2 linked regions of the Lytechinus pictus genome follow. The protein of the gene in region 1 interacts with the protein of each later gene in a pairwise test. Links are inferred from orthologs where the notes say so. Each region holds a gene or a part of one and is shown in the gene's direction. Other genes may lie near its edges.

Region 1 (7,918 bases):
TGTGCGACACCACGTGCATAATCTCTCTCGAAAAAAAAAAAGATGATAAAGAAACTAATTTAAATATAGAGACAATAGGTAGAAAAGTAAAGAAAAAAAGAATTAAAAAGAAAACGAAAGGGAAAAGAAAAGACAAGAAACGAAGAAAAAAGAGCAAAAGTCAAAAAGAAAAAAATGAAACAGTAAAGAAAGGAAAAGAAAATCAACTACGAAACGAAAAGTAGATGAACAAAATATGAAAATAATAAAAACAAAACGGAAAAGGGGATAAAAAATAAAGAAAGTGAAAAGAAATCACGAGGGAGAACTAAGAAAGAATATTAGAACACGAGAAAAGAATGAAGAAAAAAATTACATGAAAAGAAGCTAATCGAATAAAAACAAAAGGCCGTTAAAATAGTGATTTATTCACTGGCTGCCACGCAGCCAAACCATCGAAAAAGAAATTACGCCACTAAGTTAGACTTATGAATATTCATATTACCCTTTCTCGCATGCCTCATACGATAGCCTTTTGTCAAAGACTTCTAGTATATTTCTATAGGATCCTCAGTGAATAAACAGGGTGAAATTAATAGGAAGAGCGTATTATAAACGTATTATAATCGATTATTATTTTATTTTTTGTTTTTATAAGGATTAGGCTATTATTTATCTTTTGTTTTTGTTTTCTGCTAGCACGAAGATAAAAATCAATTTATCTCGTTGCCTCGTCAAAAGGCTATATCGATCCTCCATTGCTTCCTGTACAAACGACTGTTAATGCACACCGGCAAAATTTTCCGACGTTTTTGCTTCGTTTTGGGGAATTATTTCGAAGTTTTGAGTGCCGCCCATATTGCGCCTTAAGTTGTAAGTATGTATTGATTCCTTTGTAACAGTTTTGTGCAATTTTATGTATTTTTGATTGATTCCCGATGCTCATCTGGTTTGATCTGGTGAGCCGGGGTGAATCACAACGCAGCCCGAACACAGTACGTGTTCGGGCTGCCGCAGTAAGCGGAACCGGTACTGGCGGTACATCTACTGATCTAGCTCCCAAGCCTGAAGGAAAGAAGAAGGAACCTCAAAGGCTCAAGAGTCAAGTCAAACTCACCCTCTTCTTCGAAGTGGTCGGGGGGTTGGTGCTAGCTCTCCCAATCCAAACTTTTGCTCAAGTGAACCTATAAAATCCAGAAGACATCCGTGCCAAACAATTTGAAAACTGAGACACTAGTACAATAAATATAGATAGGCAAGTGAGTGAAGTGACAAATAATAGCTCCCCTAAGGCTAAGCCCAAGGGCCCAAGTCTGTGCAGTCCCCCTTGTCTGTGCACATGCGTATCTGTGTGATTCTAGTAGAAGAAGATACCCAACAAACACAGACTTTACACATGCAATACATAGACAGATATTCATTAAAAATCTGACTCAAAATGGAAAAATAATGAATTTTGGGCATTTCTTATGACAGCCTCAAAATGCAGGCTTTCTCATCAAAATCCCCGAATCGTGTGCAAAGTGAATGGGTGCGCAGACATGGGGTACCATATTTTTTTTCAATCTGAAAATGACGGCCCAAGGTTTTTTCCAAGAAAATCCTATATTTCTTTCAAATTTTTATGAGATATTTGGTACACTTACTCATAATGATATAAATTATAAGGAACATTATTAACTGAAAGATTTTGTGAAAGAAAAAGGAATTCATGTTAAATCTTAATTCAAATTGTTAAGTGCGCAGATTTGGGGACCACCATCATACAATCCAATCAGAGCACGAACTGAACAATATAGGAACTCGTTCTTCCCATCCACTATCATTGAGTGGAATCACCTGAGTGACGCTGTCATCAACTCAACATCGACAAGCTCATTCAAGAAGGCCATTGACGGAACCTTCTAATCCTTACTCCGCCCTCTCTCACCCGATGCGTTTATGCTCAAGAGGGCACTGCATCGTACACATCCAGATCCAGATCCAGAATTGGCTTGCAAGGACCAGTCTAACATTAGTTACCGAGCGGGCGCTAGTGCTTTGCTCTTTTTTTAATTTTGCACAACAAAATAAAACAGGCCGAGACCTCTATAATTAATCAACAAGTTACAAGTTAATTCAACACAGCGTTTCACAAATTACCTGCCGGCAGTGGAGCTGAGTCAAGTCTCAAAATCATGTCCGAGAGACACTGAGGACTGGCAGGGGTCTAACCGTCATTAATTTTTTACTGAAATAAATTGAATGGGGAATTGGATGTTATATCAATTTAAAGTTAATTTTAAATATAGTCAGATCTTACGTTAGATCTTGTGTCTTAGTGATTTCTTGTTTTTGTATAACCAGTCGGCCCTGTACATTCCGAACACGAAAATTTATGCATCAGAACATGCTTAAAACTTTGAAAAATCCTTCCAAAAGCAATTTGAATGGAAAGACGATGAAAAAATGGCCAAGAAATTTTCAAAGTCTTTGCTTTCTCAAAACAACAAATGGTCAAAATATCCGATAAGAGATTTTGTAATTTTTCTAACTTTTTCCACCGAAAACACACATGATATCATTTTCAAGAGAAGTGACCCAAATATTTCACTTGTGAAGTGGGGTGTGATCGGAAGCTGATATCGCAAAAAAAGGAAAATGATCTCAGCAACAGATTTACATCTTTATTTTTTGTACGTACCGTATTTGCATATTTATGGTAGAAGATTAATGTGAATTCAGGAAAAGCGTTTAGTAACCGTGGTAATATGATCCACTGACATGCCCATCAATTTTTTATTGCAAAAATTTCCATGGCATGAAAGGAAATAGAAAAAGTTGGCATCCAGCCGTTGCAATGTAATTGAAAGAGCATAAAACTGTTTAAAGATGGTGGAGAGAATACATGCGTGAGAGGACAGGAATATTTAGACTTCACTTGTGCTACTAGTACTACCAACAAGTACCAGGTTATGATGAGTAATATTTCATTTCATTTAATTTATTTGTCCGTTAAAACGGATAATTGTATAACTTGACAATTCTTGCAACAAAAATAAAATTCACAGAATAACATTACAACAATGAACATACCGGTAACATATTAAACATGAACATGAACGTAATCATCGTGATTGTACAGAGTTATAGAATACATGTGATGTATACATGAATTAAAATCGATGACTTAGATGGCATAGTTATTGAGCATTTATTTATTTATTCAGTTATTTATTCATTCATTTATTTGTTGATTATATTTTTAATGTTTTTATGGTATAAATGTTGTGAATATATTATGTATTAAACATTATTTATTTTCTTCATTCTGAAAGTGATATCAATTAAAGCTGTAGCTAGATCTTGGTTTTACATATTTCAATACTTCCTCCTTTCAAGTTAAGACATGCAGTCGCGGGCGGGGGGAGGGGGGGGGGGGTACAGTGAGAGATAAAAGGGACATATATTCCCAACTTTCTCATCTCTAAAACTCTACAATTACTATTGACATGTACTGTAAGTTGCAGAGTTGTCTGCTACATTTTCTCTTTGTTTCTACAGATAAACCACACTCCTTATTCTACTGTATTTCATTGACAACTCTTATGGAGAAAGGGACGAATGAATTAATGCGGCGACTGGTTCTTGCTTTTATAGATTTCAGTCTTCGTCCACTTCTTAATTGAATATACTGGCTATTCAGGGGGTGGGTTTGATCAGACATAATGGAGAGAGCTTTCGAAAGTCAACAGTGTTATTCATTATTTTGCTGGCTTGCTTAACAAGTCTTCTAAGCTTTATTTTATCTCTCTGTTTTGCGTTATTAAACCAGATGATTGAATCAAAAGTAATGATACTCTGGATGATCGACTGGTAAAATAGATACAGGATCCTATCATTTACATGGAAGTACTTTAACTTTCTGAGGAAATATAACCGTTGGTTGCATTTGGTCAAAGTGCATTTTGACTTTGCATCCCACGACAGTTTGCTGTCGATTCCCGTTCCTAAATATCTATAAACTTCAACATTGTCAATAATATCACCATTTATATGTACTGGTCTATCAGTGGGTTCAAAGGATTTCTTTTGCCTGAAGTCGAAGACAATTTCTTTTGTCTTCTTGGAGTTAACGAGTAAACAGTTTGCTTCACACCAATTTTCGAACGTATGGATAGTATCCATATAATCCAATTCATTTTCATTTTCAATTAATCCGACTATCACCGTATCATCTGCATATTTAAGTTTGTGAGTAGATGGGTTATATGATATACAGTCATTGGTGTATAGGGTGAAAAGGGTCGCAGAGAGAACACACCCTTGTGGAGTACCAATGGTTGTCGTTATTTCATCAGAGAGAATGCCGTTAACCCTAACCTTCTGTGTCCTTTCATGGAGAAAATCATGAAGCCACAGTATAAGAGATGGCTGACCATTTAGATTTTTCTACTTTTTCCAGGAGTATATGGGGTTCTTTAGTATTAAATGCTGATGAGAAATCTATAAAGGTTGCCCTAGCATATTAACATCTTGCCTTATGCACAACAAACAATTAGGGATCTTCTTCTTCCAGAGTAAGTGCTGCCTAGGTGATGAAGATAAATGCACTGGTTGTGTATGTACATGTATGTGTGGAACTTTTCACATTCTTATTAAAAGGTCTTGTTCTTGTAGTGCAGGTGCGTATATAGTAAGTAAAAGCATCCTTTGTGGTGTTTACTTCTGCACCCCAATCAAGAAGGCCTTGAAGGCATCAACAGAGGGTAATGGATTGGATCCTGTGGGAGATTGTTCCAGTCCTAAGTTACAGGTTAACTAGGGATTGGGAAGATGGAAGAATCATAGGTCTGACTGCTGCAGTGGGGTGTCCAAAATCGAGATCAGTGTCCCCTAGTTGCTTTTGACAGCTCACTGAAGAAGGACTGCCAGGTAATGTGAACATGATTGAAGCAGATACGTTACAGCAAAGCAAGCCACTGTCAAGACATCTGGTGAGTAACAATGGCCAGTTCAGGTTTTCGGTCGTTAGTCGTTACGCTGGATGTTTGGTTGAAGTCACCTGTGACGTAGCGTGCATGCCTTCGTTGTACCATTTCAAGCTTGTTTACATTCCACTGTGTGTCTCGGTCCCATGCTGTTGCAGCATATTCCACCATTGGGCATTCATATGTGAAGTATGTAGCCTTGATCTTGTGCCTACAGTGCTTAAATTTCCGTCATCGGATGGCGGTGACAGAATTCGCTTTCTTGACAGTATCCACATGACTGTTGAAGTTGAGTTTGTGGTAAATGTGGATACCAAGATACCTGGCAGAACTCACAAACTCTAGGTGATGCCATACCGGCCAAGAATCTGTTTCCTCTTGTTAGTGACTGTCAACGTTTGGCACTTAGAAGGGTGGAATTCCATCTACCACACATTCCCAACAGTCTCGAACATCCAGATATCATGTGTCTATTTGTAATCCAGTACTTGTTGGTACTGCTAGGATATACATTAAAAAATATTGAATTAATATAAACATATTTATTAGCTCTTACCCTTGTCTGACTTTCTTGTTCACCAGTGTGGTCAAAATCAAAATCTGTCATTTTGGGGTTTATTTCTGTGAGGCTCTCTATACGCCTACATTGTAGATCTAGTATTGGTGGAAAGTACAGGAACGGGTAACTGAAGTTTTATAATCAGTTTCATTAAAAAGTAGGATTTAAGCTGGCTAAGATACATGTATATGATGATTACACTGTACAAGAAAGTGTTTTGGCAAAATGTTTATTATTGACTCACGAGATGAAGAATAAGCAAAGAAGATCAATTGTCAAGCCTAGTTTAAACTTGTGCACCGTAGTATTACAGGACAAGGTTATATCTTTAAGTTATATATTAGATGGAATGATGGATGCATGTCTCCTAAAACTAGAGACTGTCTCTAAGTGTCAGGGGAGTATTTCATGAAAAGACTTGTTGGACAGTTACCATGGTAACAGTATAGCCTACATATATCGGGCTTTGTGAAATAGTGGGAGTTATTTATCCAAGGTTGGTCTGGCGATTACTATTTTTCCCTTGGGGTGAAGACCTGAGTGCAGAATAGTTATATTGCCAGTCAAACCAAGAATGCTTTCAAAGGAAATGCCTGTTATATTTGTCGTATTTCCTACTTTTAATGAATTAGAACCAAAATCGGTGCACTGAGTTTGCAGAGTCCGTTAACTTGCATTGAATGACCTACATGTACTTTCCCAAAGCTACCATGCTCAATGGAATGCTGATAGCGCTGACACATCACGGGAGAGGCAGCTTGCTGACCGGCGTACCAGAGAGATTAGCTACATGTAAATACCGGTATCTGCATGTAGTTTTCTCAAATAATGACATCAGAATATTGGTATATCGAAAATTATATTGAGGTCTAACGTCACAAATCATCATAGTTAGAATATATTTGGTTACATGATACTACATGTACATTGTATTTGAACCAATCACTATACAGGATTTATTTTAATGCTTATTATGCAAGCAAACATGTCGGATATAAATATTGATTAAATGCCCCAATATTTAAGGTCATTTGAGATGCTCCTAGGGGGCCATGCCCATAGGCTATCTCTTGTCAGGAAGTATACTGCTTGTTAATCCAGAAAAGAAGGCAATTTGAAGAATTTTGCAAGAAATATTTCATAAATTGTTTAGAAATAATGTACAATAGATCACAAAGGACAAATTTTGACAATTATTGCATATATGCTAAGCCTATAGATTTCCTCTTCTTATTAATCTGCCTCCAGTGTAAAAGATTCATTCAGATTTACTTAATTACAGACCATTAACTATAGAGCTGTCCAATGCGGATGTGCAGGTAAGAGTGTGTATCTTATCCATCCTGCAGGAGGTGTAATATTTCTTCAGTAGCCTACATGTATCTTACTGATTTTTCTGGAATGGACATACATGTAGATCACACACAAGTTATGACTTACTTGTAAGTAATGGAAGTTGAACCGGACTTTTGGGGGAGATTTTTATCAACATTTATTGTCTGCCAAGTTGTCAAATCTGAGACTTTCCTAGATAAGCCTATTGATTGGCTTAGAAGCACTGTTACTAGGGTAACTGGAATAAAGCAGACTTATCAGAAAAAAATGTCTGACAAATCCTTTCATGAAACACTCCCCAGAATGTGCTCCATGGTCATTACTTTTTTTATTTAAGGAGCCAAACTTTTTGTTCAGTAATATCATTGTTACTTTATTTATCTATTTTAGTTTTTCGTATCATTTTCCTTTCTTTGCAGGCTATTAAGAACCAGATCAAGATTGAATTTCCAATCAATGATTACTCCAAACTCCAAGGGGAGATCATAGGACCACCAGACACACCGTACCAGGGTGGTAAATTCAAGTTACACATCGAAGTCCCAGAGACGTACCCCTTCAATCCACCTCGTGTAAGCCTTTATTACCATAAAGTCCATCCATTTTCAGTTTAAGGATCTCATTTTTTGTTCATGTGCGAATGTGCCATCTAGCCAAGATACTTCTAGGGAAGAAATTTTGCTCTTATTTATATAAATGTTAATAGTCAAGACCAATTTTCCCTGTGTCAATTGATTGAAAAACAAGGAGATGTAGGACTTAGTAGTAGTAGTGATGATGGTGGTGGTGGTGGTAGAAGTAGTAGTTAGTAGTAGTAGTAGTAATAGTAGTACTGTAGTAGTAGTAGTAGTGGTGGTGGTGGTGGTGGTAGTCATGGGCGGAAATCTCAGGGGGGACAGGGGGAACACGTTCTCCCTACCAAAAAAAGTAGGAGGGACACAATATCAAATGTCCCCCCTACTATTTTTGTTTTTTTTATGATGGAAAGAAATACATCATTCAAAATCAAAATAAAACATGTAGTTTGGAAGAGATGACCTTACATTTGGGGTGATAACCATTTTTTTTGCTTGTC
Region 2 (7,064 bases), on another chromosome or scaffold:
GGTCTGTGATGTCAAGTAGTAATGTCTGAGGGAACCTTTGTTTATTCTCGTTTATAATAAATTATCCGTAGTATTCCTTTAAAAACAACGACATCCACTTTCTTCTACTCACCTTGGTTTCACGAGTTAGTTGTTTGGAGAAAATCTCATATTTTCCATCATCATCTGCTTTCTCTTTTTGATATAGCAAATTTTTATTTTTATTTTCATAAGTGTCGTTTCTCACCCCCAAATTATTTTTAGTTATGATTATCATATCAATTGTTGGTTATCACAACAACAATCATGAAAACCTCGATCGAGAAAAAAAATATAATGTCAGAGATTGTAGTACCAGTTTTTAGGGACACCTTTAAGCATCCCTTGATTTGGGGTGCCACCAAAATTATAAATTCCTTCTCCATTTCTGTCGATGTTATTCTTCATCACTTGATTAATTTCATTTACAAAGAATGTTTACTTCCATACCACTTTTAAAAATCAAATGGCTTATATACATTCATCACGTTCTCGCTTTGACCGTGCACATTTTTTTTTTTGAAGTATTGAATGATAAAATTATGTGTACAAATCATTTCTGACTACTTTTTGTTGGCCTTGGGTGTACTGTACAGTGAAATAAATATCAATTTATTCTCATTTTATCCGTTCGATCAGAGAAATGTTTTCTTTTCATATACGATGTATATGGGATTTATATTCAATTTGGAGATTTAATCTATAAAAGCTTTCAGTAAAAATATCTAAATCGTTATCGTACACACGGAGGTGCTACTATAAGAATAACTGTCGCAATTTTCATTTGACCTTAAAGGTCCACATGAAAGTTGATTTCATTCATTCATTCATTCATTCGTTCGTTCGTTCATTCGTTCATTCGTTCATTCGTTCATTCATTCATTCATTTCATTCATTTCATTCATTTCATTCATTTCATTCATTTCATTCATTCATTCATTCATTCGTTCATTCGTTCATTCGTTCATTCGTTCATTCATTTCATTCATTTCATTCATTTCATTCATTTCATTCATTTCATTCATTTCATTCATTTCATTCATTTCATTCATTTCATTCATTTCATTCATTTCATTCATTCATTCATTCATTCATTCGTTCGTTCGTTCGTTCATTCATTTCATTCATTTCATTCATTTCATTCATTTCATTCATTTCATTCATTTCATTCATTTCATTCATTCATTCATTCATTCATTCGTTCGTTCGTTCATTCGTTCATTCGTTCATTCGTTCATTCATTTCATTCATTTCATTCATTTCATTCATTTCATTCATTTCATTCATTCATTCGTTCATTCGTTCATTCGTTCATTCGTTCATTCGTTCATTCATTTCATTCATTTCATTCATTTCATTCATTTCATTCATTTCATTCATTTCATTCATTTCATTCCTTTCATTCATTTCATTCCTTTCATTCATTTAATTTCATTCATTTCATTCCTTTCATTCATTTAATTTCATTCATTTCATTCCTTTCATCCATTTAATTTCATTCATTTCATTCATTTCATTCCTTTCATTCATTTGATTTCATTCATTCATTCACTTTCCTTCTTTCTGTTTTTCTCCCTCTTCTTATATTGCTTCCCCTGCCCCCATTCGATTCTGCCCCAAAGGCACATTTTTATGCATCCCCATATGTATTTCTTTTTCTGTCAGCTGGGTTTCATTGGTCTATCGCTATTTATTTTATAAATTGTATATTTTTTTTTCATGTATATAAGCAGATTTCTATGCAGTTTGTATGGATGTAAGCTGTAATAGCGAATACTTTTAATTGTGTCTTGAATAAATTGAATTAAGATACACAACATAACTTCATGCATTATCGTCACGATCATGAACATTGAACCTAATGAAATGAACTTGCACTTTTCGTCCATCAGGGGTACATACCAAAGTTATTATGAACCCCATTACCCTATCCTTGTTCATGTGTATGCAATATTAATTATAGGCAAATACGTCGTTGAGGGTGCGTGTAGAATATATATCAACATTAAATACAAAGCATTTCATTATCCACCCGTAAAAGCATTCGTTTACATTCATTATTCCCTCCATTAATCAACCTCACTGGAAATGTTGACATGAATAACTCCTGAACTAATGATAGAAGTGATGACATGGATTCCCGGTGTGTCATTAACCTGTAAACTCTATGTGAACTTATATCCTCATCGTAGCCTACCCTTCATTCCATTCAAGTCAACTAAAAATTAATTTTACACAGTGCACAGATTACTAAAAGCAAATTCTACCTTTTCAAACTATTATAATGTCAGTCTATTAGAATTAATATTCCAAAACTTAAAATGGCAATTTTTTTTTCATATTTACTCTCCAGTTACTTGAATTATCGTTCTTTTTTAATGAAAATCATGAATTGTTCGGTATTTTACCAAAACCAGACAGTCTCACATTTAATTACATTCTAAAGTTGCAATATGATTTTTTTTTTTCTCGAACCACAATTACATCTTTCGTTCCAAAGGTTATTATAGATACCCTTCTCTTTCCCTATATCTTTGTGATTAAAATGAAAAGAGATAAACTAAATAAACTTCATTGGAGAGGAACTATATGTCCTGGATTAAATCCCATACAGAGCGCGTGAGGCGTGCTCCCTATAGGGGGGGGGGGGGTACAGGGAGGGGGAGTTTCCCCAGGCCTCCCGAGCGAAGTTTTCGATGCCTCATCAAATTCAAATCAAAAGGAGACGTCTCTTGCGTCTCTAGTATTCCAAATTTAATTAAAATGCTGAGATAAAAAAAAAAAAAAAATTGAAAGAAATACGGGAAAAGATTAATGAATTTGAAATAATTCCTCTTCCCGCGCGAAGCACGGAACGTAAAACGTTTTATAGAAATTGAGAACAAAAGTTGTGTAAAATGCCTTCCTTGATTAGATCTGATTTGATAAAAAAAATATTTAGCCACATTACACTTTCAGAAGACACGTATGCAGGGAGGAAAGAGTCCCTCGAAATTTCTGAATTTTTTCTAAAAATTCAGAGAAATTCCGAAGTTTCGCAGGAAGGAATATTTGCAGCGGAGTTGTCGCCGGAGCAAATGTCATATGGAACCAAAGTTTCTCCGTTTATACTTTTGCATTATAGCACGGCGCGAATTTAATGCCTGTCCCCTTGAGCAGATAGTTTGCCAAAAATTGGTTGCTGAAAAGCAGAAATTGCATATGCGGACTCGGAGAGTGGCGGTAGTGTTTACCCGCTCTGACCAGAAGAGCGGAAATTAAATAAATACTTATCATAATATTTTAAACCAAAGTATACTTCATAATTTCTGGCAAGAAAATACACGAATCCCATTGCCGAGGAGTTGAAAAACGGAGTAGAAAAAGTTGTGGGAAACAAAGGGGTAAGGCAATTTTTATATTTATCCCGCGAAATTTTGCATGAAGAGAGAGAAGAGCATCTCGTTTAGGTTTTTATACATTTGACAAAATACAAAAAGGAAAAACAATAAAGCTACACCCTTCTTCTCTTTTCTCGCTTCGCTTTTTCTTTTTCTCCTTCCCACTTTCCCCCTTTTTTCTCTCTTTTATTTTTTTTATTAATTTTTTTTCTTGAATATCTAATGAGGGGCAGTTACCCCGTTGCCCCTATCCCTTTGAAGTCTCCCCTGGTCCATATGGATGGAAACCTATGAAGTGTGTCTTTGTTTTTGTTTTAGATGAAATGACAACGCAACTTCGAGGCTTTTTATTGAGGGGGGGGGGGGTGCCCGGGTAGTGGTCGTGTAGGCCTTTACCATATAAGCAGAGAGCACGCAGGCACAGGTTGTATGTAAAGAAAGCAGGTAATTTGTCCATCTGCATTCTTTCTAACCCCAAAATGATCTACCCACGAACTTGTATAAAAGAAAACCAAAACTGACAAAAATAGAAGAGAAGAGCCCCCACATAGATCTCTTGACCCCCACCACACCACGCGCGATTCAGATCTGAGATAGACTGAGCTGAGAGCGTCGTATCGCGAGCGACGTGCATATGCATACTATACTAGTACCGGTACGTATACCGGTACCGGTAATTATGCGGCTAGCTAGCTAGCCAGCTCAATGCTCTTGCGCAATCATTTGAATCGCTGGTACTAGGGCTGAGAAGGCATCCACGCCTCAATTTATTTGTAAATTCACAGCAAATACATTTTTTTTGGATTCATACTATCTGGCAATTATATTTTGGATCATCATATATTATTGGATCAGCCGCGGAATTAGAGAGGATAAGTGAGTAGTACTTCTGTTCTGGATCTGTGTTGATTTGAGACGTGATCGTGACTGAGCTGAACGGAGCCCCGAACATAGCCGGCCAGGCCGACCGCGACGGGGATAGGAATCCACTGGCATCGTACTGCCACACACTCTAGTAAGTATTGGGCCTTGAATGCCAATGGCAATGGCACAGTGCACCAGCCATGGCATTACTGGTGCACACATTGTCATTGATAATAGACCCTTCTCCATAATTTGATGAAAAACCCTCCATTATTCTCGACATATCACAATCAGATGGTCATTTTGTAAATTGTTTTACAGTTTGGAAAAACAAAGTGAGGGGGGGGGGGGGGGGAGGTAGCCACTTATTAAACTGACGTGCTTAAAGGTCAAGTCCACCCCAGAAAAATGTTTATGTGAATAAATAGAGAAAAATTATATACTAACATAATGCTGAAAATTTCATCAAAATTGGATGTAAAATAAGAAAGTTATGACTTTTTAAAGTTTCGCTTATTTTTCACAAAACAGTGATATGCACAATTCAGTGACATGCAAATGAGACAGTTGATGATGACCCTAACTCACCATTTCTTTTGTTTTGTATTGTTTGAATTATACAATATTTTAAAGATTTGGCAATTAGGACCAACTTGACTGATCCATATATTGTCAAACAATACTAATTCCACATGTTCGGAGAGGAATTAATCGTTTCACTTAAAAATGAAGAGAAAATTAGAATATTTCATGTAATAAAATACAAAGAATTAGTGAGTGGATGACGTCATCAGTCTCCTCATTTGTATACCGACCAGGATGTGCATATAACTGTTTTGTGAAATTAAGCGAAACTTTAAAATGCCACAAATTTTTTATTTTACTTTCGATTTGATGAAATTTTCAGTGTTTTGCTTGTTGGATTTTCTCTTATTATTCAAATCAACTTTTTGTTGGGGTGGACTTGTCCTTTAATCTTCACAAAGCCAGGGATTCCTTATCATTCACCTACACACATGGTTGTTTTTTCATGGGTAGACTAAAAAACTATCAAATCTTTATCACCATTTGCGTGTGGGGGGTAAATATACTTGTAGCCCATTTACATATAAAGTTAGGCTAGAAAAGTTAAAGACTTTATATTTTTTTACTAGAGTCTATAAACCATGGGAAAAACGACTGTTTGTGGAGATGAATGCTATGGAATCCCTGGCTCCGTGGAGATTAAACATGCAGTGGAATGACTTTAATATCTAGGAGCCTCCTGGCAAGGGGGGGGGGAGGAGTGTACTAGAGGCTGAAGCCCTGCAAGCCTCCCCCCCTCTTCAGCTCCCTCCCCAGTCCTGGGGCCCCTGCATATGTAAGTATGTACATTTCCTTGGCCTTGCTAAAGTAAATGATTGTTAATAAAGGATAGGTTCACTTGGATGTAAAAGCAGAAAAAATAATGGTGATGGCCAAGGTAATACATGTAAGTAGTGAAAGTCCTAACAAAGAATCAGAGGGTTATGGATTTTTGTATTTTTTTTATATTGATGTCATATACAACCAGCTTCCCCATGTATCATGTGATATAAATTCTATAAATGTAATACAAAATTCCATAACTTGCAAATGTTTATGGAATATGATTATACCATATATGAGAATTTTTTTATGGCTAATGTGACAAATGTTCAAGAAGGTGGTATATAATGATTTAAAACTTCCCCTTTAACTTTGTAGCTTCATGTAGGCCTACATGTCTAATAAATTATTTCCTTTTCCATTAGCTTTTTGAAATTTTATTGGAGGGTAAATATGACAGACTTGCTAATGAGGAAATGTTCACTTTTTCGTGAACGATGTGAATTTACACTCTCAACTTCATTTCATAATAGTGTGCTGTGTGAGTGACATATAACATTGTAACGTCATATACGTGGATTGTTAAGAACTGGCGAGTGTTTCCTGAGACAAGAAATCTGTGAATTTCACTTACCGGTACTGGTTTGTTTCTAGTTAGATGCCAGTGAAAATTAATGACTCTTTACATGTAATGCTCTCCTTGTGTCATGGCTTATTGAATGGTTTTACTTTATTGAATGAATAGAAAATGTTCAGTCCTGAAAATTCATAATCTTTCAGAAAAAAGATTGAGTAGTGGTAACTCGGATAATTAAACTAATTAAAAGTGATCTCATGAATTATATAAATTGATTTTTCCTTGGACGCAGTACTGCTGTTATTAAAACTTTACAAAGTGCTTTACCCAGGGAATCATCTCGCATGCGGTGCTCGCGTTTGACAATTTTGGGAGGGCTTGGGAACTGAGATGTCTCGTAACGGCCTAACGGGGGTCTTGCGAGAGGGGCTGGGCGGCTTCTTAACTGAACTTTTGTCATTCGGAGTATCTAGAGAACTGAAAATTAGGTTTGAAAAAGGGGGTCATCAAAGCGGCACGGCCCCGTACTCCAATATATGTGAGTGCCCCCCCCCCGGGGGAACTACCCTCACATGCACATTCATGAAATCCATTTTAAAAAAAGAAAGTGGAATTCAATCAGTTGTTGTCACAATCTGACCTAGAATTATGAGTTCATGATGACAGCTCATATTAAACCACCCACGTTCACTGGAATTCAAATCTCACTAAACTATTTGTCAGGGATGGCTAATTCAATTTAGAATTTCATCAGATATTTTAGCATGCAATAGAGGATGTAATTGTTTTTACCCATAAACAAAGTCAACAGGAATTCTACATGTACGTGGGTATGAACTATGAAATGTCATTAGCAGTTCTTGAGGCCACTCAAAGGG

What was found. The genes of interacting proteins can lie anywhere in the genome.
Region 2: the proteins of ubiquitin-conjugating enzyme E2 K-like (region 1) and tripartite motif-containing protein 2-like interact in binary tests that used the Homo sapiens proteins (3 or more experiments, as listed by UniProt). The link is inferred for Lytechinus pictus from reciprocal best matches to the Homo sapiens genes UBE2K and TRIM2.

Annotation. Positions count from the first base shown.
Region 1 is NC_087249.1:33,557,733-33,565,650, reverse strand, and holds the start of ubiquitin-conjugating enzyme E2 K-like, read left to right. Parts: upstream 1-4,904; coding exon 4,905-5,249; intron 5,250-7,262; coding exon 7,263-7,415; intron 7,416-7,918. UniProt on the Homo sapiens protein: Accepts ubiquitin from the E1 complex and catalyzes its covalent attachment to other proteins. In vitro, in the presence or in the absence of BRCA1-BARD1 E3 ubiquitin-protein ligase complex, catalyzes the synthesis of 'Lys-48'-linked polyubiquitin chains.
Region 2 is NW_026974140.1:10,772,518-10,779,581, forward strand, and holds the start of tripartite motif-containing protein 2-like, read left to right. Parts: upstream 1-4,041; 5' UTR 4,042-4,413; intron 4,414-7,064. UniProt on the Homo sapiens protein: UBE2D1-dependent E3 ubiquitin-protein ligase that mediates the ubiquitination of NEFL and of phosphorylated BCL2L11. Plays a neuroprotective function. May play a role in neuronal rapid ischemic tolerance.